Danio rerio: one gene and its partner. The protein of the gene in region 1 binds, or shares a complex with, the protein of each later gene. Links are inferred from orthologs where the notes say so. Each region holds a gene or a part of one and is shown in the gene's direction. Other genes may lie near its edges. The genes, in order: synrg and aftpha.

What was found.
Region 2: synrg (region 1) and aftpha share a complex: the UniProt entries of both Homo sapiens proteins name them as parts of the aftiphilin/p200/gamma-synergin complex. The link is inferred for Danio rerio from reciprocal best matches to the Homo sapiens genes SYNRG and AFTPH.

Annotation. Positions count from the first base shown.
Region 1 is NC_133190.1:18,372,164-18,375,990, reverse strand, and holds part of synrg (synergin gamma), read left to right. Parts: intron 1-516; coding exon 517-1,470; intron 1,471-3,827. UniProt on the Homo sapiens protein: Plays a role in endocytosis and/or membrane trafficking at the trans-Golgi network (TGN). May act by linking the adapter protein complex AP-1 to other proteins. Component of clathrin-coated vesicles.
Region 2 is NC_133176.1:58,591,315-58,594,499, forward strand, and holds the end of aftpha (aftiphilin a), read left to right. Parts: intron 1-109; coding exon 110-193; intron 194-420; coding exon 421-544; intron 545-2,199; coding exon 2,200-2,350; 3' UTR 2,351-2,629; downstream 2,630-3,185. UniProt on the Homo sapiens protein: Component of clathrin-coated vesicles.

The DNA of each region.
Region 1 (3,827 bases):
ACACAAACCAGCTGGGGGGGGGGACTATCAAACTTGGGTTCGGACCAGGCATTCAGACCAAGTGTGAAAGCACCCTGATTTAAAGCAGCTATGCCACCCAATATACATGATCTATATGATTATCAGCCTTAGGCTGTCAGACAATTTTGTAATTGACATAAGGTCACAAACATTGCTTATTGGCCATTTACATCAATCTGAAAATGGCCCCATATTATACATTCGTTGGTCAACTACTTTTTACTTCACCACAAGAAAAGAGTGTGTGTTTGTGTGCTGTGAAATCTTCAGTGAAAATCCCTTTGCCACTTTTTTAGTTCAATTCAGCTGTCAAACACATTTTGCATTGAGCATTACTAATTCATTTTTCTCTTTTAGGCCCATAAAAATGGAACGCTGGGTGACTTGTAGGCAGACTCTGTTTTGTGCAGTGCCAGCTTTCTGTCCTTTGTTGTTTGGGTGTGAAATGTGGTTTGCTATGCCCTTCAATTGTTTTCTTTTTCAATTTTTCCACAGGGGAGGGATTTGCTGATTTCAAGTCTGTCAGTGCCGATGATGGCTTCACAGACTTTAAAACAGCCGACACCGTCTCTCCACTAGACCCACCAGACCAGGCCAAGTTTCAGCCAACCTTTCCTCCTCCTTTTGCTTCCTCTCAGTCCCTGTCCCATTCTCAGCCAGCCTCTCTGGCTCAACCTAGAAATCCTCTCAATATGGCAGACCTGGATCTCTTCACGACAATGGCTCCTCCCACGTCCACTGCAGACTCTAAACTCAACCTGTTCCCTTCCGCTCCTCCATCCTTGGTATTGCCCTCGGCAGTTGTGAAACCTCCCAGCATGGGGGGTGATGACTTTGGCGATTTTGCCCTTTTTGGCTCCTCCTCATCCTCCGAAGTAGCTCCCACCACCTCTGCTGCTGGTAGAGGAGCTAGTACAACGGTTCAGGATGACTTTGCTGACTTCATGGCATTTGGCAGCTCGAGAGATCAGAGAAGTGAGACCAGCTCAAGAGAAGGCAATAGCGAAGGCCAGACAGAGACATCCCAACAGAGGCACCAAATCGGTACTGATAAATACGACGTCTTCAAACAGCTTTCTCTAGAAGGTGGACTGGCCTACGATGATAACAAAGAAAGTGGTGGGGGCTCCTTTTCGTCACTCAAGAGTGACAATGACGACTTTGCGGATTTTCAGTCCTCCAAATTCTGTACGGCGCTGGGTGCGTCCGACAAGAGCCTGGTGGACAAAGTGGCTGCCTTCAAGCAGGCCAAAGAGGACTCCACCTCAGTGAAGTCCCTGGACCTCCCATCCATCGGGGGCAGCAGTGTGGGGAAGGAGGACTCTGAGGATGCGCTTTCAGTACAGCTAGACATGAAGCTGTCGGACATGGGTGGAGACCTGAAGCATGTGATGTCTGATAGCTCCTTAGACCTCCCTGGTTTGTCGTCCCATCAACCCCCAGCCGCAGGTGAGGAATTAGTACGCTTGCTCTGGTGAAGTCTGTTCTTTATTTCGCAAATGCTCAGACCACTGAGGCCTCTCAAAGGCAGAACAAGATGCCCAGCTGGAACGCTGTATGTGTTCATTGTGGCTGAGTTGTAGTTACATATCAAAAACTTGATGCACATCATATCATGCAGTCATTTTCAAATCAAGTTATATACATTTCCAGTTTAATCATGCACAGTTGTAAGGCTACAGTATTTATTGTTGTTTATATTTATTTATTTATTTAATTAATTTAGGTTGTGTATTATGAATTTTTACCAGTCAAAACTTGTGCTTGTAAGTTTAAATCTCATGAGATTAATACTATTGCTAACAGCACAATAACTGGTATGATTAACTCCTAGTGTTATCAGGTGATCAGGCAGTTACAAAAGCACAGTTATATGCAGTATTCAATTCTAATAGCTTGTGACTTGGTTTTCTCTCCTGTTTTACGTATGTTCGTGTTGCTTTAATACCATTCCTCATTGACTATCCAGTTTTCCTTGCTTTTTTAAACATGTTAGTTTGCCTGTATGATAAATCAGCCATTTTAATTTACCAGTTTTTCAGTATTTACGCTCCATACTGACATTTTGGAACTGATAAAATTTAAATCCATTCGTTCTGTTGTGATTGTAATATCATCATCATCTTCATCACTTGATGAACTATCAATCTAAGTGACAGTACAGTATCAAGAGAATGAAAATAGATTGGTCAATAATGAGAACCGAAAAAGAAGTATATGAACATTTTACACACAAAATTTGTAATTATTCTGATGCTGAATGAGATGCAACACAGAGGCATTATGCAATACCTTAAACGTGAATTTGAAAGCATTATTTTATTTAACACAATCCTGCAAATAATATGCTCTAGGCCTGTCATGATATTTATTTTTTTGTGGCACAATATATTGCACCAAAAATTATTGCGATAAACAATAATATTCTCATTTTATAACCATTTTTAATCTATAATTGCATCGTAATGCAAGTATTTTCTTCCAAAGAACACATAATATTTTATTCTTAAGAATTTTTCATTTAACTACAGTGCATCCGGTAAGTATTCATAGCGCTTCACTTTTTCCATATTTTTTTATGCTACAGCCTTATTTCAAAATGGATGAAATTCATTTATTTCCATAAATTCTACACACAATACCCCATAATGACAATGTGAAAAAACAGTTTTTTGAAATTGTTGCAAATTGATTAAAATAAAAAAATTCTGAAAAATCACATGTACATAAATATTCACAGCCTTTGGTCAATACTTTGTTGATGCACCTCTTGGCAGCAATTAGAGCCTCAAGTGTTTTTGAATATGATGCCACAAGCTTAGCACACCTGTCTTTAGGAATTTTTGCCCATTCGTCTTTGCAGTACCTCTCAAGCTCTATCTGGTTGGATGGGAAGCGACAGTATTCAGCCATTTTCAGATGTCTCCAGAGATGGCTGGGCCACTCAAGCAGTTGTTGTGAAGCTACTCTATTGATATTTTGGCTGTGTGCTTTTGGGTCATTGTCCTGCTGGAAGATGAACCATTGCCCCAGTCTGAGGTCAAGAGCTCAAGAGCAACGCATACGGCCACGGCGTAGGGCTATGCGTCAACGCATAGACTGTGCCGTAGCATACCGTGCGCTTGACGCAGAAGGATAAATCAGCCTTAAGAATACTCCTGGTGGTTCCAAACATCTTCTACTTACCTATAGAGGTCACTGCTCATTGGAACTTTCAGAGCAGCAGATTTTTTTTTTTGTTATCTTGCCCAGCCTTGTGCTTCGAGGCAATCCTGTTTCGGAGGTCTATAGACAATTCCCTTGTCTTATTGGTTTGTGCTTTTGACATGCACTGTCAACCCTGGGACCTTATATAGACAGGTGTATGCCTTTTCAAATCATGTCCAATCAACTGAATTTACCACAGGTGAACTCCAATTAAGCTGCTAAAACATCTTAAGAATGATCAGTGGAAACAGAATGTACCTGAGCTCAATTTAGAGCTTTTACGACGAAGGCTGTGAATACGTACGTACATGTGATTTATCAGGGTTTTTATTTTTAACAGATTTGCAACAATTTCAAAAAATCTTTTTTCCCATTGTCATTATGGGGGTATTGTGTGTAGAATTTTGAAGAAATTAATGAATTTATTCCGTTTTGGAATAGGCTGTAACATAAAAAAATGTGTAAAAAGTGAAGCCCTATAAATATTTCCGGATGCACTGTATAGTCATTTTAACAATTTACTATTTAGACTAGGGTTGGGCATCTAAGCTATAATGCCGATCCGATACGCATCTCGATACAAAGAATAAGATCCGATA
Region 2 (3,185 bases), on another chromosome or scaffold:
ATATTGTTCCAGTATGGTGCAGCCCTAATCTGATCATGCATCTACTCCTGCTGTCTCGTTTCCCTCTTTCTCTCCATAACCACCTTCTCCTGCTTCTGTGGTTCTGAAGCGAGTGGAGGCTCGTCTCTGCTCAACCTCGATTTTTTCGGCCCAGTGGATGAATCGCCCTCCGGCACGGCCACCTCTATTCCAGGTTTGACCAAACCTTTCTGTTTTAACACCAAATCTCTTTCTCTCTGTGTGTGTGTGTGTCTGTGTGTGTGTGTGTGTGTGTGTGTCCGTTCTTCTGCTCTGTTTGCATCTGTATCTTTAACTCTCTGTTTAAACTAGTGTTTTTGCATGTGTGTCTATGTGGGTGGTTGACAAATGTGCAGTAAATGTGTTTATTTGTTTTGTGTGTGTGTGTGTGTGTGTGTGCAGGTGTTGACCCAGAGCTGTATGAGTTGACCCAGGTAAAGCTGGAGGTCAGCGGGGGCAGCAGTCGAGTGGTGGATGCATTTGCTCGCCTCATGTCGACTGTAGAGAAGACCAGCACCTCCACCAGGTCAGTGAAACTCATTCACTCTCCACCAGAGGGAGCCGCACTGCAGTTCAGAATGAGTTCAGAACAGCACTGCTCTCAACTGTTCTGATGCATTGATATTAGTGTACACATATCAAAATGTTGAAACATTTACTCATATATGATCTGATCTGATCTTTCTTTCTCTGTTTAGTCTGATCTCACTCTCTCTATCTGATTGGTATTGCTATGATTTCTCTGATCTCTCTTAGATTGGTCTAATCACTCTTTGTGATTTGTCTGATCTTTCTCTGATTTTTATTCTTCTTTCCCAGACTAGTCTGATTTCTCTTTAATTGGTCTGATCTCTCTTTGATTGGTCTGATCTCTCTTTAATTGATCTTATCTCCCATTAATTGGTCTGATCTCTTATTGATGGGTCTGATCTCTCTTTAATTGGTCTGATCTCTTATTGATGGGTCTGATTTCTCTTTAATTGGTCTGATCTCTTATTGATTGGTCTGATCTCTCTTTGATTGGTTTCATCTTTCTTTCTGTTTACTCTGATCTCTTTTTATATGGTCTGATCTCTCTTTGATTGGTCTGGTCTTTATTTCCCAGAATGGTCTGATCTTTCTTTCTGGTTGGTCTGTTTTTTTTTAGTTGTCTGATCTCTTGGTCTGGTTAGTCTGATTTCTCTTTGATTTGTCTGATCTTTCTTTCTGATTGGTCTGATCTCTTTCTTTGATTGGTCTGATCTTTCTTTCTAATTTGGTCTGATCTCTCTATCTAATTGGTCTGATCTCTTTTTTTCTCTCTGATTGGTCTAATCTTTCTTTCTGATTGTTCTGATCTTTTTTTGATTGGTCTGATCTCTCTTTGGTTGGCCTGATCTTTATTTCCCAGATTTGTCTGATCTCTTTGATTGGTCTGATCTCTCTGTCTAGTTAGTCTGATTTCTCTTTGATTTGTCTGATATTTCTTTATAATTTGGTCTGATCTTTTTATCTGATTGGTATGATCTTTTTCTCTCTGATTGGTCTAATCTCTCTTTTTTTATTACTGGTCTGATCTCTGATGTCCCTTTCTCTGTAGTTGGTATAATCTCTCTTTCTGATTGGTCTGATTTCTGATGCCTATTTCTCTTTGATTGGTCTCGCCTCTATCTCTCTTTAACTGGTCTGATCTCTCAGTCTGGTTAGTCTGATTTTTTTTAATTGGTTTGATCTCTCTGTCTGATTGGTCTGATCTCTCTTTAATTGGTCTGATCTCTCGGTCTGGTTAGTCTGATCTCTGTTTAGTTGGTCTGATCTTTCTTTCTGATTGGTCTGATCTCTATTTCTTTAATTGATCTGATCTTTCTCACTGATTGGTCTGATCTCTGTCTGATTGGTCTGATCTCTGTCTGATCTCCCTCTCTCTTTCTCTCTCTGATTGGTCTGATCGCTCTTTCTTTGATTGGTCTGATCTCTATCTGATTGGACTGCTCTCCCTATTGATCTGACTTCTCTCTCTCTCTCTCTCTCTGATTGGTCTGATCTCTGATTGATCGGATCTCCCTGATCGATCTGATCTCTCTCTCCTCTCCCTCTCTCTCTTTTTGTCTGATTGCTCTGATCTCTCTTTCTCTGATAGGTCTGTTCTCTCTGATCATTCTGATCTCTCTGTCTGATTATTCTGATCTCTCTCTCTCTCAGCAGAAAGCCAGTGCCGAAGGAGGAGAATCTGAGCCCGGAGGCTCAGCGGGTGATCTCAGGCCTGCCGGATCTGTCCTTCATGCAGGCTAAAGTGCTGATGTTTCCCTCCACACTGACTCCTCTCCTGCCCTCGTCCTCTACGCCCGACTGACGCGCTCTTTTCCTCTCTTTCATTGTGTATCGCTCTCCAGCTCCACAATATTCGACCCCGTCTATGATTTTAATGCCATCCTTTCAGTTCTCTAGCTCTCGTTCCTCATTCTGCCCGTTTTTAAGTTCAAATACATCGTCCGGTACGTCAGAGAGAGAGTGCTAATCGGCTCAATTTGGCAGGATTAGATCATTTTATTCGTAGATTGATTGTAGGAAGAGTTTGTGTTAATATTAGAGCCAATCTGTATATAATCAGGGATGAGACTTTGTTTTCCTTTCGAGTGTTCTTCACCGTTACGTTAGTGTGTATGAGAGAGAAACCGAGGCACTTTGTTATTTTCCATGGTTTGTTTTTATGAAACACTGGCTTAAAAGTCCTTCAGCGGCACAAATGAGGATGTGAATGATCAGATTTGTACTTAGATTATATATAAATGCGTAGTTATATCGACTTGAAACCAAACCGCCTGCAAATTTCTCGATTTCTTTGGGGTTTTTTTGCATAACAAAGGCCTTAGTTTTTCATCATTACGGCTGACGTTAGGATTTATATCGTTAAAACTTTCGTAGGTTTCAGTTTTGTTGATTTCCCACATGCATTAGCGAACACTTCACGTTTCTGTTGTGCACATTATTGATTAATTATTGATTATCTTGATTTCACTCTGACAGATTTAGCTTTAATATCTAGCTGCTCATCTTTTGTTATTTTAACAATTTTTTTAATGCTAGTTGAAACCACTGGCTTCCGACTGTAATGTAGTGAAGGAATCGTTGAGTGAATGATTAACTTGGATATATATAAATATATAGATGTATCGAGAATAAGGGAC